Schizosaccharomyces pombe: one gene and its partners. The protein of the gene in region 2 purifies or fractionates together with the protein of the main gene of each other region. This does not show direct contact. Each region holds a gene or a part of one and is shown on either strand. Other genes may lie near its edges.

Region 1 (8,116 bases), on a different chromosome or scaffold from region 2:
AAAGCTAGTATGTCTTCAGACAGTTTCCAACGGCAGCTAGTTCAGCGAACTAATACTTTAAATTCGTCTATTGACAATGCTACACTAACTATTTTGTCAAGGTTTCAAGACATACTGGATATTGCTATAAATGAAGGCAAAGATAAATATACGGTAGCACCAGAGGTTTACCAGATTGAATGCCATACTGTGTCCATGGTTCGCGCGGTAGAACAGTTACTGGATGTTTCTCGACAAATTAAATCATATTGGCTCACTAATTCTCTTTCCACGTCTTTTCCGACTGTCGATTACAGCGAGCCTGATCTTGAGAAAGTTAAAAGAACTCTTACTAAACTACAAAATCATTTACTGGAAGTCAGTTTAATTGAACCAGAAGCATCAGAAACAACTGAGGCTCCCACTGTTTCTGACACTTGAGTTAACTCACATAAATTATTTTTTGCCAATTAAACCAAATGTCAAAATTTAATGATACATCTATCTGAAAAATAATAGTTTGCCTAAATATTTCATTATGAAGGAAATCACTTAAGTTAAAGAGCCAAAATCTTACTAAATACGAAAAGCCTAATGGAGGAGCACATAATTAAAGGATTAAAAATTGGGTTAACCCAACCGGAGAATGGCTCCATTTGAAGTACTAAACAACAACTGGTGTAACTCATTTAACCAAACCAAATTAGAAATAGAGGAAACATGGGTTTGACTCATACATCTCCAAGACTTTGAAGATTTGACATAAATATGTACATAGAGAGTCTCCCCATCCGAACTTACCAAAAGTTGACTAGTAATATCTAATGACACTGCTGCGACTTTGGTTTGTAGGGGTATTTTTTGAACAAGCTCAGATTTTCTTAAGTCCCAAATGAAAATGTCAGAGTCATCATTAGTTGTTACTACAAGCCAATAACCGTTTTCACCAAATTGTAATGTTTTAACTGGACTTGAATGTGGTCCAAATTTTGTAAGCTCATTTCCCGAGGAAGTCTCAAAAAAGCGTAACTCGCCATTCTCTAACCCAGCGACAAAGAGGTTACCGTCCGGATGTACAGCAAGAGATGTAATGTGTTGAGCAACGGTGATATTATAAACCTGGGATTTCAGGGAGAAAATATAACACTTTTCGTTTGATGCTGCTAATAAATATTCCCCACTTGGATGAGCTTGAAGGAAGTTCACCTTTTCGTCTATAGGAATGGACGAAGTAGGTTCACCCACACTTTGTAAACCAGATGAGGAAACAGGAAATTCAAAAATTGAAATGGCATCAGCAGTAGCGACAGCAATCTTGGAAGAAGTCAACCAACAACACGCTAAAGCTGATCCTTCAAAAATTTTGAGAGTACTGTTGGATTGGATATCTAGACATAAAAGTTCATCCTTATGAAGACATAATACAAAAGAAGAATTTTCAGGGGACGGGAAGAAAGACGTAGTGCTTTCTGTTTCCAAATTTTCTAAGATAGTAGAAGGAGTAGCTTGCAAGAGCTGACTCACAGCATCGTCAGTCGCCCATTTAGGTTGTAACTTTGTACGTTTCCTTTTGGAAGAAAGTTCTTGAAATGTTTTTTCCACCGTAGAGCGTAAGCTAGTTTTAAGCTGGTCATCACTTTCGCCCATCTCTACCTCTTGTACTTCAATAGTTTTCGAGGAAACAGTGCCTATGTTATCGGAAAATTTCGCCAATGCTTCTCTAGCTTCGTCTCTTTCTTTGGTAAGCCGAGATATAACTCTTAACGCAGCATCTAGCGAATACAATGCCGTTGATAACTCCTGCTTCGTCTCTGTAAGATTTCTTCTAAGTTCAAATTGCTCAAGCGCGACAGAATCCCATTCTTCTTGAAAGAGAGACAGCAATGCAGGCAATGAAGTGGCAGAAGGAGGTCGAGGTCTAACAAAATCAGGTACTGTTTAAAGGTTAGCAATTATCTTCGATTTGATTCGCTTTATATGTGAATGGTCAGTACAATCAAAATATAGTAAATATAAATCGCATTGGAGAGCAAAAACCAAAAAAAATCTAAAGTATTAATACATTTTCCTCAACAACTCCACATTAATTTTGATAAAGATTTGTTTTGATAAATCCGACAAGGTTGTTCTATAATTCTCTAAAAACCTTCCTAATTTCTGCCCCGAGATATTGACATGCACTAAATAGTCCACTTTTTAAGGAGAAATATAAAGCTGTAAAATTAAAAAATTTCGAGTACAAATCAATCATGCAATAAAATACATTATCAACAAAAAAAAGAAAATAAACGAGTTCTTCAACCAATATTGCAGGGTTTTACTTTCCAAACCAATTTCAGAATATTCAGTACTCCACGTATAAAAAAATAAGTGCTACTTGAAATTCTTAACCATTCAATAATAAAGAAGGAAATCTTACCCTTTACAGGAACCAAGTCCTCCAACGTGCATTCCTGTTGAGTAACAGGGTCTTTAGACGTTTCACGAATAACTTGTTCAATCAAGCGCTTCTCGTAAACATTTCCTACATTCAGTCAGACAGGGAAATTATTGTACAAACATACCACTTACACGAGAAATCACCGGTTCTTTTGGCGTTTCTCCACTGATTGAGCAAAACATTCGGCACACGTTGGTTTCTGTGTGTAATAGCTAGAGGAAAGCAATGCATAGCCAACTAATCGTTTACTGCACTATACCAATATCCGTATATAATATAAGGCAAATGCGATGCATTTTGCAAATAATTTTCTAGTTAGTAGTGCAAATGTACGTACAAGGCATAGTAGGGTTTCAGTACCTCTCGTCTTCATAAATCTACTGGACCATTACGAGACTGGATAGAATTGGAGATAATTTACTTAAAATCACTACAGATTCCCATAAATTGTCCCTCTCTTCTAGCTACTCACGAACTGTTGCATCATGGATAATACATCTCTACTAACCCGTGGAGGTGAGATTTACAGCAGGAAGAAAGGGAAGAAGCAAAGATTGGAGGAGATCGTCTTTGATAAAGAGAAGCGAAAGTATGGATATCATAAAGGGATTGCTACTAACTTGTTACAGAGAGTATTTAACTGGATTTCATAAACGCAAAGTTGAACGACGAAAGCATGCTCAAGTTCAATTGGAGCAGCAAAAACGCGAAGAACGTTTAGCGTTGAGGAAATCTGTAAGTTTTTCTAATACTATCTTGAGTATATCACTAACACTATTCAGCTCAGAGAACAGCGCAAAAGAGAACTGGCTGAGCGATTAGCATTCTCTAAAGAGTTGAATAGCTCGCTAGAAAATGATGAAGAATCTTCACAGCAAGAAGATTCCTCATCTAAATCTGACAGCGAGGAAGAGTCATCAATGGAGCCTAAAACTACTGAGTATGACGAAGATGATAAGCATGTTACGGTAGAAATTGTAGAGGACGATGATGATGAAGAAATTGCTTATCCTAAAGAAGGTTTTGTCACGCCTCGTATTTCTCCTCCACCAGATGTTCCTTTGCGTCCCCACAAGCCTAAAAATGCCGCCAAAAAGAAATTTCGGTATGAGAGCAAATTTGAACGTACACAGGACAGAAGAAAAGAAAAAATACGTCGTTTAAAGAAGAAAATAAGACGTTAAATTAGGAACTTCAAGCACACGTTGTTTGACGCATCTTGCCCTTTTTTTATATTTATGAATATGGTTGGTATAAAATGATATTTGAATTCAATTGTCCATTCGTTTTTCAGGTTGAGAATTTTTGGAAGTTAACAAACTACTTTACAAGAGATCATTACATATACGGAGTTTTTCTTGGTCTGATATATGCATTTCAGCCTTTTTCAATTTTTTGTTCACAGTTTTGATTAAGGTGTTTGTACATGCGCAAAAAATTTGTACTCAATAAGCGGTAAGCTAGATTTTAGCACGATTTATATTTTTTTATTATGTTTAAAACCCGTAAATTTTAGAGATACTCTACATTTATATATTCCTTTGGATTTTAGTATATTAGCGAAATTCACTAGAATACCGAGTTTGATCTTTGTCAGAACACAAACCACGTCTGGTAATGTGGTAAACAAAAAAATATTAAAAAGAAGACTGCAACAGCTTTTATTTCATTAGCGTTGATCATGTTCTCAATAATAACATGTCTTCTTCAATAAACGGATTAAATGAGAGTGAAGGGTCAACGCCTTTAAGCACTGCATCTATCATTGGCTCAAGTGAGCAATTGTACATGACTCATGATGAACGATACCTAGACGTCCTTCAACAATACGAAGTTGAGACTGAAAATAAGCGTGACTTTGATTTGGAAGAAGAACAATGGGGCGTTCTTAGTGGCTCTTGTGTGGATGGAACTTACTGGAGTGCAGAAGAAAAAGAACTGTTTTTTCAAGCGGTTGCTCGAAATGGGAAAAGAGATTTAGATTTGATAGCTTACTCCATTCCTTCTAAAAGCGCTGTGCAGATCGAGCGTTACATAAATGCCTTAGAGAATGAGCTACGTTGGCTTCGTAATCACGTAGACGCATCCGTGCGCAGTCAATGTTTGTTGAAATATGAAGATATACCTATTGCAATGGAAATGAGTCAGAATTGGATTGATTGGGAAGAAAAAATTGCGGAAAGACTTCTTGAGGGTTCGAATATCTCAGGGGTTGAAACTTCACACTATAATGCGCAAAGTGTCAAAAACAAAACCTCAAATGAGGATTTATTTGATACAAATGAGATGAGAAAGATTTCTGAACGGTTTTATCATTTCGATCGACAAGCGCCTTTTCCAAGCAATCCACTTTCTGCTGGCGCTACGGAGTTTTTATTACAAATCATTAAAAGCAAGTTGAAGGAATTAATCGGAACATCTATATTTTTGGCGGAGTCTAGGTTTAGGAAACTAGAGGCTAACAATGCCTTTCATAGAAAACCTATTATCAAGAATAGAGACGTTGTTCTGTCAGGCAAATTTTTACGATTTCACCGATTCAATATACCCGGATTTTGGAAGTATTTACCCACTAGACAAAAGATGAATGTTTACAAAAGAAACAAACGTCTCAAATTTCAAAATTATATACACATAATGGAATCTGATGAAAGACAATCAAAACTGAAATTAGGACGAGTCAGAGCACGGAAGACAAAAAATAACGAAAACACCATGTTTTTTGATTCTAAGGAACATTCGACAGATGAAAGCGATGGTAACCTTGGAGAACATGATGTAAAGCGCAAGGTAGATTCTGTACCCGCCGATGAGACTAGCATCAATGGTTTTAAGAAATCTGTTAATCAGGCTGAGTATCCTGATAATGCTCAAATGTTCATGGATGAAAGTGTCGCAGAAGAAAGTCTTGTGGAAATTGATGACAGCGTCGAAGCCTACGACATGATTCAATCCAAAAACTACGAAAGCTTTGTTTGGAAATATGTGCTGCATTTAACCGATGAGATGTCGACAGAGGACGCTCTTTTTGAAACTATACCACTTAGTAATTTGCTGGCTCAAAAGCGAATGAAAGACAAGTTAAAAGGTTCCGACGTGTTTACGACTCTTAAAATAACTTCCAAGAGCTTGCACAACATTGACGAACATTCCGATAGTGATGATGAAGTTCAACCTATATGTTATTATTACAAGGATCCAGTTGTTTCCCATGCCCCGGGTGCAGCTGAAGTCGTATCTGAACTTGAAAGCGGATATGTAGGGTTAATATCCTATGATTTGTCTAATCTTCCAAATAGTACAGAAGATCCTGAAAGGAAACTTGCAAAACCTGTCTCTTCTTGGGAGTTGTCACTCCCTTTAAAATAGATGTCTTCATTTTCGAACTACAGTCTTGAAGCCTTTACAAAAACATAAATTGTTTTTTAGCGCTGCCTCTGTGTTGGATAGCAATCCTTTCTTTTTATCGTCATTTTCTGCCAAGTTTGTTTTTTCCTAGAAAGAAAATTTAATACTTCCTCTTTATAGCAATCAGTTATTGCCATTTATAATGATGAGTCCCAGTGTTCACAATATTCTGAAACTTTTTTTGTTAAAAACTGATTGCTTTCTTCCGTATAATTGTCCCAATATTCGCACCACAACTATAAAAATTTTTTTTAGGAGCCTTTACTTCCTTCTTAAAAGCAATAGTTACTTAATCAATTATAGCGACCCCGCTATTTGAGATACACATTTTATAAATTCTACACTTTTTGGAAACGAGCATTTTCTCTTGTCCCTTTATTTGACGATCCGACCGTTCACGCTACAAACGTCTACAAAATTTTTTTCTCTAGAAAGCATCTCTCCTTCTGTTTACTCCTGTTGCTACCGAAATTTTTTCTTTTTTTTTGTCCTCTGTGTTTTTTGATCAGGAATGTATATATCTTTAACCATTTTTTAGCGGGTTTTTTCTAAAGGTAAAGCTATTTAAGCCAGAAAAACAGTTCATTTTCCTTTTTCCTTCTAATTTCGGCAATTTCCCTTTTCACAAATATCACCATTTTTGAGTGGAAAGAAAAGCCTAGAGAGCGGAAACGCTGCCAAACCCATTAAAATTAATTATCTGTAATATTATAATCGTATTTAATAGCTATTCATAACACCCGTTTCGTCTAAACTCCCGTAATAAACCATGTGACTTTTGGCAATTTTACGCACCATATCGTAGAACACGGCGATAATTTCCATAGTGTTTCGCTAGGCTAGGGCAAGGCAAGCCAAAGACCATAGTGCCATGTGTACGACGCATGCAAATTTTAAGGGATTAGAGTGAACGACTCGCTACTGCCGTTCTCACCGCTCCACTGGGCAATGATGCCAACAACTGCAGTAATAATTATTCCTTAGCCATTTACCAATTGTTTCGAACTTCAATCATAAAATTGGGAATATTTTCATTTACTTGATGGGAAGCTGAGGAATGAAAATAGGTACCCAAAGGAATCGTTGTGAAAATAAAAATCAACAAAGCCAAATTCATGACGCTAGATTGAAGTTCATAACGTTTAGCAGGAAATAAGAAGAGCATATATACGATAAGATGATATTTCGAAAAAGTATTTCCAAATCTCCATCAAGCAAGGGAAGCACAGTATGCTTTCGCTGCGGACAGGCATTTCAACGTAGAGAGACACCTATTTCGTTTGGGGGTCATATGTGGCATAAGGATTGCTTCTGCTGTACGAAGTGCGATAAAGGATTGGAGCACAGTGATCAAATGCTGGTGCAAACCTCTGATGGACGACCGGTGTGTAGCTCTTGCGCCCATACCTGTACAGCGTGTCGTATGAGGATCAAGGACTATGCCCTAATGTCAGGCTACGACTCCTATCACAGAGAGTGTTTTCGTTGCCATGATTGCCGAAAGCAAATAATTGACTCTAACTTTAAAAGAGATAATAGGACTATATTTTGTAATGATTGTAAACAAGTCCGTCACCCTTCCAGGTCTTCAGACGAGAGCGCTGATTATCACAATTTTGAGGTTGATGTCACGATTAAGCCCACAGAGACAAAGTCTTCAGTGGAATCTAATAAGTCTTTAAGCATTGAAATTATGTCTCCTCAAAAGCCACCATTATCACCTTTTGGTGGAAGCAGAGACCGCTTAGTTAGCGAAACACCGACTAACATGAGTCAGGCAGAAGGGGGTAATGTGCCGAACGATGGACAGGATAGTAATCTTGCGTCTAATTCTGCAGATTCGCTGCTGCCTAGTGCCAAAAATCGAAGTTTTTCCTCGTTTACGAGTTTTGAATCGCCGATGAAGTATGACGATTCTTTCTTTCCTATTTCACCTTCTATATCTCCGTTACAAAAAGTTAACAAGCAGCAACAAATTGAGTCTCCTACAGCCACATTTCCGTTAAGCAAAAATACTTGGAAGAATCGATTCCATACGTTTCACAAACAATCTTTTACTCCTGTTAACGATAGCTCTTCCTCGGACAGCTTAAAACCCACAATTAATGAGGAAGCCCTGGACGACTTTGCTGGCTCTGCTTCTCCTTATAAAACCATGTCATTGACTGACCGAGCAGAGCCAATTGTCATGAATGGACATATGCGTTCTCTTCACAATGCCACCTCTCCCTTTCGGCCTTTTTCTCCCTCTTACAGGTCGAGTGATACGCATTCACCGAGAACCCGCTC
Region 2 (6,801 bases):
GGATGCGTCCTCTGGTCCTTTGTCTGACCGAACTCTAATGAAGCGTGGGAATCGAATTGATAAACCGCGATCATCCTGAATTAATCCCAAAGCCGCCTTGTATGCAGGTGAGGATGTTATTTGAGCACCCTTAATTTCCCAAACTTCTTGAGGGGCAAAGTATATTTGTGGAGTTACCTTACCTGTTTCGCAAAAATTATATATGGGTTTAAGACTGCTATTGCCAGATTCTAAGGAATACTTTTGTGTTAATTCCTTATAAAATTGGTCACTAAAACCGGACATGCATTTACAGACTGCTTCATACGCGCCAGTGTCTGGATTGTAAACAGCAAGCAAAATTGGACTGAACCATCCGGCTTTTCTTCCATTACCGTACCAAGCGCCTATGGGAACAAGATCCAATGACTCAAATTCATCATCATAATCCTGTTTGACTTTAATCCATCCCTCACCTCTTTTATCAGGTTCATACGTTGAAGGAAACTTTGAGTTTGTTCCATTCAGTACCTTCACCATTAATCCTTCGCATTTATTAGTAATTGCAAGACTAAAAAATTCTTGAATGGATTGCTCCTCATTTGTTTCCAAAGAAGACACGAACTGAAAGCGATTTGGAATTAAATTAAAATGCTCAAAAAACATTCTTCTTCTTTCAATTAAAGGCATTTGTAAGCAAGATTTCCCATCACAAAACATAATATCAAAAACAAAAACACACACGTCTATTGTAATATCAGCCACTGTAACTTTTTTTCTTTCTCTAGTTGAAAGTTTTTGAAAATCCAGTATCTGACCATTACTTTTGTCAATAGCCACCAATTCGCCTTCTATAATAAAATCACATGAATGTTTCAATGCTAATTGAGCAACTTCAATGACATCCGGAAATCTTCCTGTAATTTCCTCCAAATGGCGGCTAAATATCTTAATGTTTCCAAGTCTATCGCAATGAATTTGTGCTCTTTGTCCATCGTACTTGAACTCACAAGAGAAGTTATGATCAGTCAATCTTTCTAACATATGCTGCAAATTCTTTGTGATAGAACCAAGCATAGGTTTTACTGGGATTCCAGGGCGAATAGACATATTGTCTTTTAAGTTTTCTATCCCCTCTCGAAGAAGGGTTGCAACCAAAATGTTATAATCAGGGACCTGAAAGAAACTTTGTTTAACAATCTCTTCTCCTTGACGAAATTGTTGTTGAAGTGAGTCAGAATTAAAATTAAATATTTCGTTTTGATTGTCAAAAATAAAAAAAGCTTTGCTTAGTGAAGCTAACATGGTGTTTTGAACAGCCCCTATTCTTAGATTTTGCATTATACTCCTCCCTATATATCGAACCTCCTCAGCATTAGAACTTATCAATAAAAATTTAGTTAACTCTAATTTACGGTTCTGGGCACCATTACCGTTACTGTCAGCAATCTTTAGTAAAGTAGAATAAACCTTCTTAATAGTCAAAGGTTCTGGTCTGCTTAACGTGCGCACAGACACTTTAGCTTCGAACGCTACATCTCCTGGATCGCCATATTTGTTCCATAAATTTTTCAAAGCACTTGCTGTAATGCCACAAACTTCTTTCAAAGCTTTAGAGTACATTGCAGGTCCGACACCAAGGTTTTTTCCATAAAAGTTGGGGGCAATAGAATTGGTACATAACCAAACTGTTGCAATTAAGGAATCAGGATCTGCATACAGAAGTGTGAGAAGGAAATTGGTTAATAATGTGACAATGCGTATCCTGGATTTGGTAGAACTAATTAAGGAAAAGGTGTTAGCAAGTGATGAGTAACTGAAGCTTTTTGTATCTTTTGAAACAAATCGGGCTCGACAACTTTTCACGTAAGTCAAAGGATCTTTCTGTAAAGCATCGTAATCAATTGTGGAATCTTTGTTCACGCTATCAGTTGAGAAAAAAGAAGCTTTGCATTCTTCGCTTGTAACTAAATTCTCCTTAGGTTTATCATTGCTTTCTTTTACAACATTAAATGTGTCAGTATGATACTCTTCTTCAGGTATAATTACATCTTTAGGAAGCTTTTCCGGAGCAGTAGCTTGGTTCTCAGAATCAAAAAGCTGTTGAAGCTTTAATGCATAAGCATAATCGCTGGCGCTTTGATCGTGATCGGTGAGCAATTTGTTTGGTGTATCTGTAAGCTGTGCTTCTCGTTTTGAAAACAAATCTTGAATTGTAATAATATTTCGGCTTTTCTCACCCTTTTTAGACGTAGATTTTAAAGAAGAGCCATTTTTCATGCGCTTTTTGGGAGGCATATTATAGACTACAAATATTGCATTATAGATGATATTAATTTAATTAAACTTAATAAAATCCTTTAGTAATTAAATTTCAGCATTCGCTTCCAGCTATTCAAACCACAATTGCAATTGGGGAAATTGAGGTGGTCAGTTGTACTGGTATATGAACAAATCACCATGAACAGTAGCTATGATAAAGTCATCCATAGTAGGATGACAAGATATATCAGTGACAATTGGAGTACCAACAACGGAAGTGGATGTTATTTGGGTTTCATTTTCTAAATCCCATAGATATACTTTACCATCCTCACTTCCGCTGAAAACAATTGTTTCACTTTGATTAAAGCTAGATCTAACTCGGTACTCCATGTTTTTCAGACCGATATAACTTTTCAAGATTTTACCCGTTTCTTGGTCAAGTAGATGAATAGATGAATTTAAAGAAGAGATCAAAGAAAATGATGCGCTTTTAGAAGTCTTGACTGATGTAATGGGATCTATTTAATTTGTTAATTTTTGAAACAAGTGATCACTTACGAGAAAAGTAATCTGAACTCAATGTTCCCTTTCGAATATCATATGTTCTTAAAGTGCCATCAGTTGATCCAGTAACTATAAGATGCTCAGCAATGTCGATAGAAGAAACACTGTCTTTCGCATCTGCTAAGACCTGAATAGGGCTAAAAGAATTAGAACTAAATAAGTTAGTAGAATAAAAACAGAATTAATAGCCCATACCGACAATCCCATAATCGAACTTTAGAATCGAACGAACCTGTAAACAATTAGATTTTGGATTATTCGTAACAATCACACTCACCGCTAGCTAAAATGGAGGAGTCCTCGTTATAACGAATTGTATTAATTTGAGCCAAATGGCCTCCAAGTCTTCTATCTACCTTTCCAGTATTCACGTCCCATACTTGAATGAATTTGTCACCGCCGCAGCTAGCAAATTTTGTACTGTCATAGACTAAATCCAAATCTAGTATTTCATGACCATGTCCAGCATATTCATGTATGCATGCGCCGCTCTTTACATTCCAAAGTCGCACAACCCTTTCGTTACCAGCAGCAAGGACGTACTTTCCAGTCCTGTTATATTTTACGACATTAATAGGTTCTTTTGCTTTAGAGCTCAGCTTAGTTTTAGCTTCCAATCGCATACTGTTTTTGCATTACAAAAGGATGCTAGGAACACGATCTTTTTCAGTTCTTCAACCTGTAATACAGAGCTTGTAAAATGTATGACCGTCAAATACTATGTTTAGACAAGTAAGGAAAACTCTACAAATCACCGCATAAAAATATTTTTTGATTGACGGTAATCTACTGAATTTCAAAATTTTTTTATTAAAATCCAATTAAAACTGTTTTATCGTAAACTGTAGACTCAAGACATGTATCCAAAAATTTTTTGTCGTGGCCCTCTCATTGAGTGTGACAAACTTCACAACTATCCAAATACCAAGATTCCGCAGTTTGCTGGAAAGGTCCTGAGAAATACTCTGAGGAAATCTCCTTTGCAAATTACTTGTTTTCTTTTTTTAATTAGGTTATAATCCGCATAAAACGTGCGGATTGAACTAGAAAATGAAAACTGAATTTGGGTTTTCGAACTTAGTAGGAACAATCTTTTCTAAAGGTAATCTAGTCTTTACTCCTGATGGATTTTCTATTTTAAGTCCTGTTGGAAATCGTGTAAGCGTATACAACCTAAAAGATAACACGTCTTATACGTTTCCTTTTGAAAATCATAAAAACATATCTCATATAGCTTTGTCACCTACATCTACACTTCTTTTGTCAGTGGATGAAGAAGGACGATGCATTCTATGCAATTTTTTGAGAAGAAGTGTGCTTCATTATTTTAATTTTAAGTCACCAGTTGGTGCAATTGAGTTTTCTCCTAATGGCAAATTTTTTGCGGTTTCCTTGGGAAAATTAATACAAGTTTGGCGTACGCCTAATTCTTTAGAGGAAAGGGAATTTGCTCCTTTTGTATTGCATCGTGAATATACTGGCCATTTTGACGACATCGTCTCAATTTCTTGGTCAGCCGACTCTCGCTTTTTTATATCTACTTCAAAGGATCTGACCGCTCGTTTACATTCTGTCGACCCTATCGAAGGTTTTCATCCCTGTGCTCTTACTGGTCATAAAAATACAGTAGTATCGGGGTTTTTTTCTAAAGACCAACAAACCATTTATACTGTGAGCAAAGATGGCGCCCTATTTGTTTGGAAATACTCGCCTCTATTCCAAGCAGGAGAGGTAATTGACGAAGAGGCAGAGGAAAATAAAACTCGGACGCATATTTGGTTGATTAAGGAACGACATTATTTCAACCAAAACTCAAAATTACGATGCGCAGCCTTTCATCCTACTAGCAATCTGTTGGTAGTGGGATTCTCTAGCGGGCTTTTTGGTATATATGAATTACCTTCGTTTACAATGTTATACCAATTGAGCATTACCCAATCTAATATCGATACTTTAACTGTAAATTCGACAGGAGATTGGATTGCTATTGGCTCTAGTAAACTTGGACAATTGCTTGTTTGGGAATGGCAGTCAGAATCATATGTTTTAAAACAGCAATCACATTATGATGCGTTGAGTACGTTGCAGTACTCTTCTGATGGTCAGCGAATAATTACTGGTGCTGACGATGGAAAAATAAAAGTTTGGGATATGAATTCTGGTTTTTGTATCGTTACATTTACTCAGCATACATCTGCAGTATCTGGCCTTTGTTTTTCTAAGCGAGGCAATGTACTCTTTAGTAGCTCTCTTGATGGTTCAGTTCGAGCTTGGGACCTCATACGTTATCGTAATTTCAGAACTTTTACGGCTCCATCCCGGGTTCAGTTTTCTTGCATTGCAGTTGATCCATCAGGCGAAATTGTTTGTGCAGGCTCGCAAGACAGTTTTGAGATATTTATGTGGTCTGTACAAACTGGTCAGCTATTAGAAACATTGGCAGGTCATGAGGGCCCAGTATCATCTCTTTCTTTTAATTCATCCGGTAGCTTATTAGCTAGTGGAAGTTGGGATAAGACGGTACGCATTTGGGACATTTTCAGCAGAAGTGGTATTGTTGAGCCTTTGCCAATTCCATCGGATGTTCTATCCCTTGCTTTTCATCCAGACGGAAAAGAGGTTTGTGTAGCCTCACTTGATGGGCAATTGACTTTTTGGAACGTTCAGGAAGGAAAACAAACATCTTTGATTGACGGTCGAAAAGATCTCTCTGGTGGAAGAAGATTTGATGACGCTCGGACTGCTGAAAATTCTTCTTTGAACAAAACATTTACCTCTATTTGTTATTCTGCTGATGGTTCGTGCGTTCTAAGTGCTGGCACTAGCAAGTATGTTTGCTTGTATGATATAATTACTGGCGTCCTAATTAAAAAATTCCAATTATCTAAAAACGAATCATTGCAAGGCGTACAAGAAATGCTGAATAGTCGAAAGATGACTGAAGCTGGGTCTATCGAGTTAATCGATACCCAAGGTGAAGAGTCTGATTTGGAAGACAGAATCGATCGTACGTTACCTGGCGCTAGACGTGGAGATCTTTCTGCTCGAAAAACACGCCCTGAAATTATCTGTCATGGCGTTCAGTTTTCTCCAAGCGGAGGAGCGTTTGCAGCAGCTACTACTGAAGGGCTGATGATTTATTCTTTATATAATGACTTTTTGTTTGATCCTATTAATTTAGATATGGATATCACACCAAGCACCACTCTTACTATGTGTGCGGAAGGAGAGTTCTTGATTTCTCTGGTAATGGCTCTTCGTCTTAACGAATATAAAGTGGTTCAAAAAGTCTATGAATCAATTCCCATAACTGATGTCGAGCATGTAGTCCAAGAACTTCCCGTATCTTACTTGGCTAACTTCATGGGGTATTTAAGTTCGTTTGCCGCCGAAACGCCCCATATCGAGTTTCATTTGAGATGGATGAAGTCTGTACTGACGTACCATGGTGAATACTTAAGACGGAAGAATTTTGAGTTTGCTAGTCAGTTAACCAGTTTGCAAAAATCGATTGTCGTTTTAAGTAAACGTCTTTCTCAATTATCGTCGAACAATGAGTTCCAGTTATCTTTTTTACTAGATAAAATGCATTTACGTTTGGAAAATACGGCATGAAAATAACTTTGACAACGGTTACATTAAATATTCATAGGGTTATAGATTTTTGTTATGTTAGGGTTTAGTGTTGGAACTAAAATAAAACTTAATTCGCTTTGGTCAAACCAAATATGAACCAAAAAAGGTTCTTTGTAAAGGATAAAATTTGAGTCAACTCAGTCAAATCTGTAAGGATAAATACTTAGACATATTTATAAGCTAATAGGTTAGTAAGGATATAATGCTAAACCAAAAGAAAAACTTACGAAGCATAATTCCGTTAGGATCAAAAACATTTTTTAAAGTTTTCATCAAATGAATCATTTCCTTCGATTTGGAATAACCAACGAATGGCTTTTTCAAAAGACCTAAACCATGTTCAGCAGAAATTGAACC
Region 3 (7,479 bases), on a different chromosome or scaffold from region 2:
ATTTGAAACACAATAACTCCCAAATTTAATTGAATCAAAAAATCCATAACGTTCTGAAAGCATTTGTAATTGCTCAGAAACCATTAAAAATGATCCAACTGAGACGGTTTCAGAATTGACAACAAACATATATCGAGGTGAAATGCATAAACTAGAGGAGATGAAGGGAAAAACGGTTTGTGAAACACCAATTGCAGCTAATGAGTTTGAATACCAATCCCACCTTAAAAGAGATTTATCCAATATGGTAGAAGTGCCAATGATGTCCAAAGACATGCTATTAACAAAAGCTAACTCCATATCATCGAATAAAATTATTATAATGCTACTAGAAGGAAACCACCAGAGCTTCCAAATTGCTTTGGCAAATTTTTTTCTATCCATAAGTTGTAATGACATGTATCCCTTGTGAAAAGTAACCGAATACAACCTAAGGTTGTTGTTATATGCTGTAGCAAAAAATGCATGCAGCTTGGTATTCTCACCGTTTTTATGAACTATACTTGAGGAAAATGAGTGACAAGCAGAAGAAACAATTCCGGCGGGATATTTGAATTCATAAATAAGAGTAGTTTTAGGAAAAAGAGTCACAATTTGAATCGATTGTAAAGATTGGAGTACAACGAAAGAAAAATGCTTCACACCTGTAATGTGAAGTTCTTCAAAAGATATGCTGGAAGTATCGACAATAATAGAGTCTAAATTTAAGCTATTTGATTTTGACATATCTAGATTCCAGGAAGTGCAATGTTTATTAATAACCAAATTGTAAAACTCGTGAACAGCAATTTTACCGAGATGATCGGTAGAAAGTAAAACATCATCAGAATTACCATTAAATACGAGGTGTGTCAACACAGAATCTTCCGAATGTTGATTAATTGTAAACAACTGTAGGGGAGGCTTTCGGCTAACATCCCAAACAAAAATAATGCCACCAGCATGTCCTTGGCATACAATTCTTTTAGAATTCGAAATCGCTAAAGAAGTGACAGGTAGAGTAACGGATTCATTAGAAGATAAACCAGGCTTGAGGATTTGAAAGTCATTCGTTCGCCAATCATTCAACAATACGTGTCCAGAGGATGTTCCAGCTACTAACAACGTACCTTGATAAGCGATAGACGTGACAGTTGCAGGCTGATCATTCATGGTAAATCTGAGTTCTCTCAATTGGGAAGAAACCCTGCGTAACTGTCCCCAGCGCATCCAACAATCATTCCATGAATATTCATCTTGCCTAAAAGGACGATTGGAAGCATGGATAGCAGTTGAAATTCCAAGGGTGGTGCTTGCGGCTTCATTGTCAAAAGACGAGCTATTAACGGAGTCCTTGGAAAAGGAAAGAGCTCTTAGTGTCCGAGTATCATCACCATTTTTTATTTTTAAGGAAGATCTACCATACTTGGATTGCATGATTGCGAGACTCAATGTGAATGTGAATTGGAATCAATTGTTAAGAGTTAAAGCTTCTTCAGCATTTACTCAAAAAACAGTATTTTCTACTGTCTAGAAAAGTATCTAATGATAAAGCTCAATTCATTAGGGAATCCGTTGTCTAATGTAACGGTTGACAGAGGTCATAGAAAAAGACAAGAACCTTAGCGTTCAGCGTTAATGTGCACTAAATGAGTGTCAACAGAAACAGGTGCTTTGAAAAATGTAGAGAAAAACAGAGTTGTTAGGAATATTTAAAATTATTTTAAATTATCAGTCAACATATTCAAAAAAATTCCGATTTTTCAAAATCAAAGTGAACAAATACTGTATAATATATCATGAAAACAGCATGCAGTCATTGAGCATAAATCATCCAATTTCCATTAGTAAATCAGACTGACTAGTTCCGCTGGATTTATACTTTATTGAAGCATCACTGGAAACATTAAGATGAGATTCGATGGTGACTGCACCAAGATCTTCGGATGAAGAAGAGTACTTAACCGATAGCTTAAAATCATCAGGAGAAGGAATTGAAGACTTGCCAGATGATTTTCCTGGCTGCCGATTCGAATTCAAGAGCAAAAATAGAAAATCCCGTTTCAATTTCTTTTCCAAAGGAGAGATCACAGAAAGTTGTGTCCGTGGAGCTTCGTCAGCCTCTTCTGTAGGCTTATTTATGCTGTCATCTTCTTCCAGTTCAGCATCCAAGTCTTCTACAACAATTGTGTACTCATTTTTGTAGTAAGCTACACGCTTGCAGGTTGGCATTTCAATATCAGAATCTGCACCGACTGTTAATATATTGACATGGAATAAAGGATATTGTAAGAGAATTCGCTTTCCCTTTTAAATTTATTCAAAAGGTTAATCGATAGTATACATACCATCATATTCTGAAGTATCCTCTATTGTAAGCTTCTTCAATGGCCTTTCGATAATTTCGAGGATTCTTTTCGTCGAATAATCATCTTTTGACGCATAATAGCTTCTTTTCAGAGCCATTGAGACGATAAAATGACAAGTCTTATTGTAAACCCACTTTTTGGCAGTAGGTAAAATGTATTCTCTTCAACACACAAAATCCATTGTAAGTGACAATGCTACTTACTAAAGTTTTGAATACTCAGAGGCTATAACTTTAATATGTGATAAAGCTAATGAAATCTTCTAGCAATTAATATCTATTATCTCCATAAATATCGGGTCATTATTTTTTTGTAATTCCCGGTGACTTCTTGGCACTGTTTTTCTATTTCAACAAGTCACCGATGGGCTGTAACAGCTAATTAATACTGTACAAGGATAAGAGTTCTGTAAGAAATGTAAATCTAAGTTATAGCGTTAAGTAAATTTATCGACCATGTCTTTCTTCTTTGTTTTTTTTTTATCAATTAAAAAATCCAAAGTAAATCAGGATTTGCTTTTGGTAAGGTTGTTCAACAAAGTTTTATCTAAATCAATGAAAGAATGTTTAATCTTTTCCTCTTGTTCATTAATCTCGAGTTCTTCTTCCATAAGTGATTTAATAATCTGTGAACGCTCCTCCTGCTGAAGCTTCTCAGAAGCTATTGCTTCTTTTAGCCGCTGAATTTGTTCATCCATTGTAAGAATATTAGGAAGCTTCACAGAAAGTCCATTTGTAAAAGCAGGAGATTCTCCAAAGGCACCTTTCTTGATTTGAGTATGTTCCCATGATTGGATGGGCTCTGCTATGTCTTCATCGTCCAATTCCATCTCCATATTTTTCTGGTCGACGGCCATTTGAATTGATCGTGTCCGTAAACTTTCCGAGCTATGGTGGTATATTTCTTGAAGTTTTTCTGACTCCTCCACGTAATTTTCAAATCCAGAGTAACCTTCATCTTGAATTTCGTCTTCCGTTTGAAGCAATTTCTCTTCTTTATGATTTTGTGCCAACATCAGTTGGTCCCCTGTTTCAAGTGAAATGTAATTATCCGTCATCATGGCAATGTTTCTCTTTCTTCCTTCTCGATCCTTTAACTCCTTAATCATTGCTTCCTCAGGAATGCCTTGATTAAGCATATTCCATTCCAAACTAGTATTAACGGGTAAAGGAGGTGACGATCTTGTTTGCAATTCGCTTTCTTTGGTCGAGGAATCCTCCTCCTTCTTTGTAAATTCTGATGGTGTCTGCCTACTTTTTCTCTTTAACTCATCCACATAAGCATTGGAGTATCCACTTTCATGCGAGAGAGCATCCATTCTTCGCGATATTCTTTATTAATTAGATAACTAATACTTGGACTTAAAACATTTTACTTACAAATCATCAACCGAATGAAAAGAGCTTTGCTTTTTTACCTTTGGAATCAAAGGGATTTGAGAATCCTCCCCATCGTCGTCTCCTTCCTAATCAATGTTTGTTAATATAACAGATGAATTGGTAAAACGTTTTCCAGCAAAAAACAACTTACCTCGTTCTCATATTTCACCCTAAATTTTCCCGAATTTTTTTCTTTCGCTTTTGTTTTTCTTCTATTTGCATTTTTGTCTAAGCATTGTTAGTACACTTGCGATAATAAGTTCTATTCGAGCCCAAGCACTTTTGCGCTTTTAAGTTCTTACTTGATTGAGAAACGTTTAAATTTTCTTCATGCTTTTCTTCCTCATTGTCGCTCGTTTGCACGATTTTAGGCTTCGCCTTTTTTAAGTATCGTCGCATGTTGGTAAATGGGTGCTACTTTCTAGGCAAACATATTTCTACCAATCTTTCATATTGAATAGCTATTTTTGTAAAAAAAAAATCATATAAAGTCTTAATTAAAATGATGTTTTTATGTTCTGTGAAAATTAGAAAGGGATAAACATAAATGTCTTTACTTGGGCATTTAATATTATGGCACATACTGAAGAGGTGCATCGGATAATGCAAAGCATCAGAAAAGTATTTGTTCAATTGACTTACATTTTTTTCGACTAATTTTAGAGAAATGTGTTTGAAATTCAAGTTTCAGATTTAAAACTTTTAATTGAAAAGCTACAATCGACAAGCTACCAATATCTACTACAGTCACTGGAAAATTTCCATTATATAAGTTGAAAACAAAAACAATGCTTTTAATTATTTAGAAAATCAGAAGAAAAAATAACAAAATTATTTTTTGGAAAGGACATTTTAAAATAAAACATATAAATAACTCATCGATCCAAAAAAAAGATTTGGACGTTTGAAAAACCTCAATGGAAGTTTTCATGTACATATGTGCATTAAGGAACAACAGCAATGAAAGAAAAATAAAACAATCATAAATAAAACAATCCTTGGCACAAATAATATTCAACAGTTATAAAAAACATCACAAGAGAGATTTAACATACAAGAATAAAAACAAAACAAAATAAAAAAAATCACGAGAGCACCCTTCAGTTCTTTAAGACATTAAACTAACTTGATCAGGAGCCCTCGAAAACTTATACGGATGCCTTTGAAAAACGAAAATAAATAAAAAATTAAAACAAAAACATTAGAAATAAAACAAGAATATTCGGGAAATCCCTTCACTTAAGAAGAGAAGTGGAAGAAACAAATAGTAGTAGTAGTAATGCATTTCAAACATCATAAAAATAATTTATGAATCGCGTGACAAGCGTAGAGAAGGTTGCAAGTATTGACCAGTACAATTAAATGTAGAATAAGAACGAGGAGGCAAGCGACCTCTCAAGTTCAAACCAAAGCCGGATTTCTCCAAACCGTTTTCATTTTGCTCCAACTCATGACGGAGATCAATTAGTGAAGACTGACGCTCCCTTCCTAGGTTCCAAGGCCTAGAAGCTCTCGCTTGAAATGCTGAACCATTCAAAGAAGCAGGTTGCTCATCATCAACCAACTTTAAGGAGGAAACACGTGTTAATAAATCTTGAGTAGCAAAGGAGTTATGATTGTTGCCGGAAAAAGGCTGCAACCATTCGGGGAGCTTCACACTAGGCTGGACCTTTGCAGAACCATTAATTTTTGAGGATTGCAAAACAGAAGACTGAGGATACACCTGTCCGCCTACCAAGCCAGTGGCAGCTGAAGGGAAATGGGAAGAAAGAGGTGTCAAACCTGAGCCACTACCGGACAACGTAGGAGAAATGGAGGCTGAACGAGACAAAGGAGGTGGAGAAATGGTTGAAAAATTTACGGAGTTCATGCCATTGATTGAGGAAACAACGGAGTTTGGCAACAAAGATTGCGCAGCAGCAGTACGAGGTGAAACAGGTGCACTCTTCAAGCTAGAGCCGGATGAGTTTGAGCTGCCAGAGTTTGCTCCAATGACAGATTGATTCATACCGAAAATTTGGTTAGCGGAAAGAGTTCTGTCGAAGCCCTCATCTGAAACTTGGGATTGAGATTGAGACAAGGCAGATACAGGAAGCGTATTATGACCCCACGCGAGGCGGATATGAGAAGTACCAACTAAGGCACCCTGCATAGTGTTTATGGCCTTTTCAGCAGCAGATTTTTCACTGTACTGGACAAAGCCACATCCCTTGCCAAAGGGAATCTTGATGTTCAAAATTCTTCCAAAGGGCTGAAAGCAAACTTGCAAATCTTTCTCGGATAAATTGCTAGCCAAGCCACCGACAAACACCGTAGTGTTCAAAGGATCCATGCTACAAAGATCTTGATTAGGCTGGCGGTTAGAAGTAGAAGTAGGAACGATACCAAGGGCAGAATCGGCGGCGATGGAGGCTCTAGACTTTGGTGAAGCGACAGAGATGCGTAAGGGGCGACCTTGACACAAATAGCCCTGCATATGCATCAAGGCATGTTGTTGTTCTTTCTCACTTGAAAAGCGAACAAAGCCATATTTCCTGCTGAGACCGGTAACGGGATCGACAATGATCTTGGCTGAGGTACATGAGGGATATATGGAACGGAAAGTCATAAAAAGATCCGAATCCTCGGTAGTGGGAAGAAGGTCGCCAACGAAGATACTAAACTCAGGATCACGGGAAACAAAGTTGTTATGTTGAATGCCGCCACCAGTAGCCCAGTTAAGCTTGAAGGTACAGTGAGCACCAGGAATCATGGTGTTATTATACTTCATCAAAGCACGCTCAGCAGCTGCAGAAGAGGAAAACTGAACGAAGCAATAGCTGATAAGCGTTTCCGAAGAGGATGCTTTGGAGCGCATGACTTTAACGTTGACAGGTTCGTTGAGGGAAGCCCAGAGCTGTTGAATAAAAGTAGCGTCCATCCAAGGTTCCAGGTCACCCATCCATAAGGTGTCGCTCATTTTCGAGCCAACACCTGCTACATCTTGAAGTGGAGTGGAGCTAGGAGAACAGTTGAAAGGAGCCACAAGTCTCTCCAAAGTAGGAGAAACTAACTCTGATTTGCCCTCATCAACCACAGGGGAAATGGGGGCATTGACATCTGAATTAGAAGCTGACATTTTCGAGGTTGCTGGAATAGACGAATGCAAAGGGACGAAGGAAGTATCAAACAATGAAGAACGGCGATAAAGGCAGTCAATAGACATTTAAATAGATATCCAAAAAAAAGTAAAAGAAAGTAAGTAATATGAATGAACAACAAAGTTTCAATGAGACACAAAAGTCAAAAAACGTAACCAGTATAAGACAATGGGTGGTAGAATCTTTCAACGATGAACAAAATAAAGCTTAGCTTATAACGTACAGACAAATAAATCAAGGACGAAAAAGCGAGAGGTCTAAGAACTCTTGAGATGAAGAAATGCTAATAGAACAATCAAGAACAATTTAATAAAAAAAAAAAGAGAAATTTTTTTTGCTTGCGTAAAGTGTAACGGTAAGAGCAAAAAAAAAAAGATTCAGGAATAAAAGAAGTACTAAAACAAAGTGTTACAAAGATCGAGTATTAAAGAGGATTGGAAGAATAAAAATCAAAATCGATCTGAAATAAAAGGAAATTAATAAATGAGATGGTTTCGCGGTAAAAAGCTTGTTGAAGTGAAAATATAAAAAAAAAACACAGAAACAAAGTTATTCGATTGTTGATGAGACAAAAAGCGAAAATACAATCCTTAATGAGGCGTGAAAGAAAAA
Region 4 (7,717 bases), on a different chromosome or scaffold from region 2:
CATTTACTCGGGGGTTGAGCAATCAATATGCGCAGCATGGTATTCGTGTGAATGCCGTTGCTCCTGGTCCCATCTACACACCTCTCGTTAGCTCCACATTTCCCAAGGAGAAGATTGAACTTTCTGACCAAGTTCCTCTTGGACGTATGGGACAGCCTGTTGAGGTTGCTTCTTGCTACCTTTTCCTTGCATGCTCAGATGGTGGTTACATGACAGGCCAAACTCTTCATCCTAACGGTGGAACTGTGATTAACAATTAAATTTTAAAGGAAGACGACGTTCATTTACTGTCGTCTATTACTTTTTTGGTTTGAAATGAATAATGCAGCAATTTAATTTTGCTGATCCGGATGATTGTTGAAGTTGTACTTTCATATACTTTTGAGATGTTCATTCTCATGAAGACAATGCATGATTTATGATAGCTATTTTGGTTCCAGTATATGGAAATGGATGAACAGTGAAGAAACCTTTTAATTTCCTCTATCTTTGCTTTCATAGCATGAAGAATGTTTATGATTTTATTTATACCTTTAGAATTACGGATATCTACGGTTATACACTGTAAACAGTGACTAACTAAAAATATTTTTTTGTCCTTAAGCTATTGTAAAACAAGTTTGTATGGTTCATAAATCATCTCTTATTTAGGCATTTAAATACTTGTATGAACTCCTTGAAATGCATTTGTGCAGGTAGGAAATCCATTCAAAATTTACATAGATACTCTTTTTCAACTGAGGAAAATATTATTATTTCCTTCCCCCTGCTTTGTAATTAATTCACTCTTCGTTGCTCTTTCATTAAAGACTAACTAACTTAGTATGAATCATTTGATTAAAAAAAAGTTGGAATACCAAATTGTTATTTTCTTCATATACTGCCATACACGTGCTTGTCAAAATGGTAGAAACAGAGTAACTAGAGAAGCATGAGTCATTTTCCAAGACAATGAGAGTAGAGTGTTGAAAAATATTTAACTATTCTACAAAAAATGATGACTAAAGTAAAATTAAATAGTTACTATACTCAAACATTTAATATTCTTAAATTTCAAATTTCAAATACCCAGTTAACGTGTTGTAACGAATCCTTATCTCATTCTTAGCCTACCCATTCGTATTCTAATACAATTGTGGGACATCATCATCTTTGTCATCTACCACCTATTAAAAGATAATAGCGGAAATTGCAAATTCATTGTTAAGTGCTTTGCTAGTTGTTTAGAAATAAAATGCTTTCCCGTTTTTCTTCCCAGTTGCGCTTTATTTCCGCAGTTAGGCCGGTGATTCCCAAATTTCAACCTTTGCGATTTTATAGCGTTGCTCGCCCTGATGCTGAAAAACGAATCCTTAAAGTTGTTTCTTCCTTTGACAAAATTCAGGACCCTAAAAAGGTATGTTTTGCATTCATTCAGTTGTTTTTTTTCACTCTATGTGTAATTTTGGATCTTAACATTTTTGTTATTTCCAATTTCAAGACTCATTGTAAAAGTCGTCGGCTTGAATTTACGAAAAAATTTTTTAGGTTAATGTTATCTTTGTTTTTTCTCTTTACCCCTATGCATTCTCTCTAACCATTCAGGTCACACCTACATCAACATTTGCGAATGACTTGGGTCTTGATTCTTTAGATGCTGTCGAGGTCGTTATGGCTATCGAAGAAGAATTTAGCATTCAAATTCCTGATAAGGATGCAGATGAAATTACTTCAGTCGGGGATGCCATCTCGTATATTACAAAAAACCCCGAAGGTATGAACTTTTTTTTCTCCTGAAACGTAGCGTCTAGCCTATATCTTTTCCTACTGCTTCTACGTACTAACTTTATACAGCAAAATAAATAATCCATCTGGTCTTTCAAGTATACTTGACTAGATAGATATTGATTTTATCCAATTGGTAGGCTTATGAATCAGAACAATTAATTCCTCATTCTCTCTCATCTTTTGTATTTTCAATGAAGATTTTCTTGCCATGTATTGTTGAATATACTTATACTTTGGCTGTTGACCAAATTTTTTTTCCTTCTTCATTTTATAATATTGATTTTTAAATGTAGTTCTGCATTTTATCTCTTCAGAATCTACGTTCCTATTACTTGTAGTGTAAAATACAACTTGTTGCAAGAATGCATAACCTCTTAATTTGCATTGTTCACGCAACTACGATGAAATTGTTCGAAAATTGAGCACTGATATACAAGTGTGTATAAATACTCCTTTAATTCGTGGTATATCAATTCCCATTGCTCTGGCTTAGCTAAGCTTCTCATATATTTTTGAGAGACAGGAAACGGCATAATAATACCAACAATTTTTTTGGCTAACTAATGGTAAAATTGCTTATTCATCGATATAAGCATGCATTCAGTACGACTATTTTTCCAATTGCTGAGATACTAGAGACAATATGACAAACACAACTAGTTTCATCAGGCACTTTTCGCCCGATGAAAATACACAAACTTGAAATCATTAAAGTTCCACACCGATATACTAATGCAATACAACAATCACTACTATACAACAAAAACTAGCCATACTACAAAGCACATAAAAAATTTCTTATAAAACAGCTTATGCGATATTCTGGTATATAAGCTAAAGTCATAAAAGTCTAGTTATTTTCTAATATTAAAATTGAAATTGCCAAAAAAAAGACAAAAAAAGAAACATCAACTGTTCTGCGAACCATGTATGCTATAAATCCTCTCAACAAAAAAAAGAAGAAATCACCTGTACCAGCACGGCCCACACTCGAAAATTGAAGCTTACATTCCAAAGCCCTAAGAAATCCTGGCTTCGCAAATCACTGGATCGTCATAATCAGCTTACTCGGCAACGGTAAGACGGAAGATGGAGGTGTGACCCTTACCACCAACGGCACCTTGAAGGACAATGATCTTGTCACCCTTCTTGAGGATGTTCATCTTGTAAGCTTGTTGGCAACCGTAGGCAACACGAGCGTCAACATCCTTTTGCCAGTCAGAAAGAGGCTCCTTCTCGTAGATGACGGGGTAGACACCACGGTTGAGGTGAGATTGACGAGCTCTTTGAGGGCAACGAGTAACCATAACAATGGGGATAGAAGGACGGTACTTGGAGCAGAGACGAGCAGTGTTACCGCTGGTGGACAAGACAACGATGGCCTTGGCATCACTCTCAATGGAGGCACCGATGGCAGCGACAGCAGTGGTCTCGGTAGCACACTCAAGAGGACGACGGACGAGGCCGAACATCTCTTGGTAAAGGCTGCCGTAAGGGATGGAAGCCTCAGCAACACGGGCAGTCTCAGCCATGTAGGTAACGGCTTCAACGGGGTAAGAACCCTTGGTAGTCTCACCGGAAAGCATGACCAAGTCAGCACCATCGAGAACGGCGTTACCAACATCGGAAACCTCGGCACGAGTAGGACGAGGGTTGTAGGTCATGGACTCAAGCATTTGAGTGGCACAAGCAACGGGCTTACCAGCGATGTTGCACTTGGCAATCATCATCTTTTGGGCGACGAAAACTTGAGAGGCAGGGATTTCAATACCCAAGTCACCACGGGCAACCATGATACCGTCGGTAACGTCAAGGATAGAGTCAAAGTTGTTAACACCTTGTTGGTTCTCGATCTTGCAGATGATCTTGATGTTCTTACCCTCCTCACCCAAAACTTCACGGATGTGGATAACGTCCTCAGCACGACGGATGAAGGAAGCAAAGATCATGTCGACACCGTTCTTGACACCGAAGCGGAGATCGGCCTTGTCCTTCTCGGACAAAGCGGGCAAATCGACATCAGTCTTAGGCAAGTTGACACCCTTCTTGGAAGAGATCTTACCGTTGTTGTTGACACGGACCTTCAAATTCTTGTCATCAACCTTCTCGATGACAGTGAAGGAAAGGATACCATCATCAACGTAGATGATACGGCCAGGTTGAATGACCTTGGTGATGTTCTTGTAGTCAATGTACATGACCTTGTCGTTACACTTCTCGGCATAAGCATCGTCGGTGGTGAAGATCATCTCGTGACCAGAGGAGATGGGGTAGTCAGTACCGCCAACGGTGAGACCAGTACGAATCTCAGGTCCCTTAGTATCCAAGGCAATGGCCAAGGGGAAGAGAGGGTTGGTGGCAGAGGCCTTACGGGCATTGTCAATGACGGATTGGTGGTATTCGTAGGAACCGTGAGAGAAGTTCATACGAACAATGTTCATACCAGCATCACGGAGCTTGCACAAGGTCTCAACGTTGTTGGACTTGGGACCAATGGTGCAAATGATGGAGGTACGACGGTTGACAGCGGGGATATCAAGCTCGCTGTTGAGGCCGGCGACCCATTGCTTAGGAGAGACAGCAGAAGAGGACATCTTTCAAAACCTATATTATATGATAAAATAAATGTAGGAGAGTATTATATAAAGAGCTTTAGAAAAAAAAGAACAATTTCAATTTTTTTCTGCAGGCTACTTTGATGTTGTGGGTTTAGTGGTTGGTAGAGGTACCTTTTTGGTCGGGGGATTGCCTGTATATAAAGGCCGGGAAATGTAACTTCGGAACAATATCGTAACCATACGGTCGTTTTTCGGAAAAAGCCTACACGTACCCGGAATTCTAAAAACATACCGCTTTTTCTTACAACTCTAAGTATCAAATCGCTGTATTTTTTTAAGTTATATGCACCTGACTCACTTACCGTTCCATTCTCCACCGTCACCCAGCCGGTGGAGCGACGTGAATCCCTTCCACATCCCGTCGCCCCAGTTGTTTCCCTAATTCCATACCGTGCGCAACAACACACATTGACGCGTCCCAAACTCTCCTATCTCTACTACTACCCGTATAAGCATGAGAAAGACGCGAAAAATCCACCTAAACATCCAACTTGCGGTGTTTGTTTACATTTGGCACCTCTGCGTGAATAACGCATTACATTAACTCTCGCTGCTTCCGTCGGCTGAGGAATTTCCAAAAGCTTCGAACTCGTTCTGCAATGTGACTTGCTATCAATATCTCGTTACCAGGAACCGACGTAACCTGACATAGTTTTAAGCAACATCTTGCCATTCTGGACGATTATGTAGCAACCGAGATAGGGAGTTGCCCGCCAATCATCGGCTTTTGCGAAACTTAGCAGCGCTTTCTTTAAGAGGTCAGTAAGGAACTACTGCAGAGTAGAGCGTAATTACCTTGCAAAACGGCGTACTGCAAAGTAGTATGTTATGCTAGATGAGAAAGAGACAGGGCTGGGAATATATGTCTGGCTAGTGGGTAGAAGCGCTAGGGGAGAGGACAGGGGGCAGAGGCAGAGGACAGAGGCACAAAAGGTAGAAAGGATGGGTAGAAAAAGGAAAGTGTCAGGAGCATAGTATGTTAGATCTGATATTTAAGGCAATCCACGATAACTCAAAACAATCCTATTCAGCCTTCTCGGTGGCTTTTGATTGATTGATCGACAGAGTAGCATGATCGACAGTAGCGTAATTTTTCGTAAACATTTCTTTTCATTTGTCTATTTGACTAGTTTAGTTAACTTTTCTACGAGTGTCATGAATTGAAATGCTAATAACTTTCTCTAACATTAAGCGAATAATCACTAGCAAGATATTCCATATGGAACACAAGTGTGTTACTTTCGTACATACGGTATTACCTTATAGATGTAGGTGTATTAGTTGAGTTGCAGTATTACTACTGTATAGACCACAGGATGTTTTGTTGTAATTACTTTTTATATATTACCCTCTCTTGGAACTTCTTCTTTACTTTTTCTATTTCATACATCTTTATGCGTGCTTTAATATATCATATTGTCACTAATTCATGTTTCAAAAAAAAAAAAAAATAATAATAATAATAATAATAATAATAATAATTATCGATGCAAGAAAATGAATTTTCTCTTTTCATTCTCCGTGTTATCTTCCCTCTCATCCACCGAGCCAGCCGGTATCTTCTCTTTAGCTAAAATCCTTACCAACGTTGACGTCGTAGAGCAAATATATCTGATCCGACTTGCTTTCCATACACTCAATCAACTTAATTAGCTTATTCTTAATCTCTTGACGTTTATGCTTGTGATAACCCGGTGTAAGGGAATTATAGCGGTCAGAAAGTTTCTCATAACGCTTTTTCAATTCCATCAACTCATTCGTTAATTGATTCACTACCGTCTTAAGAGCCTCGCTGGGCGGTTGACTGGGTCTTAACGTCTGATCAGCATACAAACAATTCGAATGCGAAACCTTCTGCTCCCCTCTTATCAAGTCTTCTTGACGAGCATGACACGCATTGCACTTGCCAACTCCATGAGCTGCACTTTCATTGATAATGTGTTCCACCTGCTTAAGAACATGTTTCGGTAATTCTTCTTCATTGGGCTCATCCGGTACTCCAGTCGTTCCAAACTCTGAACCGTTATGAAAAGTTCCTTGATTCCAATCAAAGCCTGCTTCATTAAGGTAGCTATCCTCGGCCAATTTGTTTCCTTTCATCGAAGAAGAGCTTCTTCGCCTCGGCAACGTTGCTTGTTTCTCCTTTTCAAAATCACCATCATCGGATAAGATATCAGAGTACTCTGAGTCAAGAGATATCTCTTCACTACCTTCATCAGACTCAACCCCCGACGCGACATTCGGCGAATCGAATACGACTTTGCCAGTAATACGCCTTTTTGATTTGGGTCTTCTCTTTCGATGCTTGACAGGACCAGCCTTGTTTGATTGCGATAGTTTCAGCTTAAGCTCCAGAGACTTCCTCATTTCAATTTCTTTGGCCAATTCTTTCACCAAGTCTTGGTATCCCGAAGTCGGTGAAGTGGAGTCTTGTTGAGGAGAGCAATTTTCTTTGGCAGTTTCCGTTCCATTGCTCATTTCTTTAGTGTTTGCGCCGGATTTGTTTTCAAATAATAAGTTGTTGAGCCCGTCTTTCCTTTCGTCTGCTTCATTCATGGACAAGGGTTTTGAACTGTTTTCCGCAGTCGACTTTATTTTGCTTGTTACATTAGATTCCTTCTTATCCAAATATGTCTGAAGTTTCTCTTTTAATACTCGATTCTCATTCAAAAGTTCATTATTCTCAGAGATCTTATTACCCAGACGCATAATATAACTCTCTCGGTCTAATAATACGTTCTTATAAACAGATTGAATATGTTCGTATTGCTCTTGTAGAGATTTCAAATGTTCAGACAAGCGTTCTTTTTCTCGCTTGACTGTGTCATAGCGAGAAGCAGCCATACCATCGTCAACGTTCGATTCACCAAGTTTTGTAAGCATCTCCTTTGACATTCGTTCCTCTAAACTCCTAGCACGTCTTTTCTCCCTGTTATAGGCGTCAGTAAGAAGTTCTAATTTGTCTTGGAGTTCGTCAATTTTTGCGTTGCATTCATTACGCTCTCGTTTCAAAATTTCAAATTTTTTCTCCAACAACTGGTGAGCATTGAAAAGTTGTTCATCTGTGGAAGCAACGGGAATAGTGTTTAGCTCGGGTAAACGATCGTGTTCTTTAGCATTACCGTTTTCATCTATTGTATCATCGCGAATTAAAGAAGACAAATTAGTCAGATTAGGCAAACGGTAGGATGTTTGGTTATTAAAATCGACACTTGGCTCACTGTGATTTAGGCCTAGTTGCTCCATGAGTCTAGCAGAGGCCTTGTAAGAAGAAGGAGTCTCCTTACCTGAATTAAGGTTTGGTGTAGTCTTTGAGCGAAAGCCGTTTCGTC

Evidence for each region.
Region 1: the proteins of wdr83 (region 2) and prp19 purify together in Schizosaccharomyces pombe (affinity purification with mass spectrometry; 2 studies listed by BioGRID). This does not show direct contact.
Region 3: the proteins of wdr83 (region 2) and ntr2 purify together in Schizosaccharomyces pombe (affinity purification with mass spectrometry; 2 studies listed by BioGRID). This does not show direct contact.
Region 4: the proteins of wdr83 (region 2) and pyk1 purify together in Schizosaccharomyces pombe (affinity purification with mass spectrometry, with the first as the bait; one study listed by BioGRID). This does not show direct contact.

What each region holds. Positions count from the first base shown.
Region 1 is NC_003424.3:5,127,727-5,135,842, reverse strand, and holds prp19 (Prp19 complex subunit, ubiquitin-protein ligase E4 Prp19), read right to left. Parts: upstream 2,621-8,116; 5' UTR 2,602-2,620; coding exon 2,544-2,601; exon of another isoform or gene 2,504-2,543; coding exon 2,399-2,503; intron 2,060-2,398; exon of another isoform or gene 1,914-2,059; coding exon 610-1,913; 3' UTR 501-609; downstream 1-500. Other genes in the region: srb6 (mediator complex subunit Med22), read left to right, coding at 10-420; rRNA exonuclease Rrp17, read left to right, coding at 2,905-3,008, 3,049-3,154, 3,202-3,603; RNA polymerase I upstream activation factor complex subunit Rrn5, read left to right, coding at 4,118-5,788; Rho-type GTPase-activating protein Rga3, read left to right, coding at 7,005-8,116. UniProt on the Schizosaccharomyces pombe protein: Probable ubiquitin-protein ligase involved in pre-mRNA splicing. May also function in DNA repair.
Region 2 is NC_003423.3:872,980-879,780, reverse strand, and holds wdr83 (WD repeat-containing protein), read right to left. Parts: upstream 3,543-6,801; 5' UTR 3,432-3,542; coding exon 3,086-3,431; exon of another isoform or gene 3,041-3,085; coding exon 3,004-3,040; exon of another isoform or gene 2,961-3,003; coding exon 2,803-2,960; exon of another isoform or gene 2,763-2,802; coding exon 2,410-2,762; 3' UTR 2,313-2,409; downstream 1-2,312. Other genes in the region: adl1 (DNA ligase), read right to left, coding at 1-2,277; pwp2 (U3 snoRNP-associated protein Utp1), read left to right, coding at 3,859-6,423; dld2 (D-lactate dehydrogenase), read right to left, coding at 6,608-6,624, 6,672-6,801.
Region 3 is NC_003424.3:3,565,414-3,572,892, forward strand, and holds ntr2 (spliceosome complex disassembly protein Ntr2), read right to left. Parts: upstream 4,133-7,479; 5' UTR 4,127-4,132; coding exon 4,030-4,126; exon of another isoform or gene 3,956-4,029; coding exon 3,879-3,955; exon of another isoform or gene 3,814-3,878; coding exon 3,728-3,813; exon of another isoform or gene 3,680-3,727; coding exon 2,854-3,679; 3' UTR 2,569-2,853; downstream 1-2,568. Other genes in the region: WD repeat-containing protein Vps8, read right to left, coding at 1-1,416; SPOM_SPAC17A2.07C (uncharacterized protein), read right to left, coding at 1,810-2,225, 2,328-2,445; RNA-binding protein Csx1, read right to left, coding at 5,034-6,932.
Region 4 is NC_003424.3:3,842,182-3,849,898, forward strand, and holds pyk1 (pyruvate kinase), read right to left. Parts: upstream 4,495-7,717; 5' UTR 4,362-4,494; coding exon 2,832-4,361; 3' UTR 2,562-2,831; downstream 1-2,561. Other genes in the region: SPOM_SPAC4H3.08 (3-hydroxyacyl-CoA dehydrogenase), read left to right, coding at 1-260; SPOM_SPAC4H3.09 (type II fatty acid synthase subunit), read left to right, coding at 1,235-1,396, 1,585-1,753, 1,834-1,841; protein Ppc89, read right to left, coding at 5,952-7,717.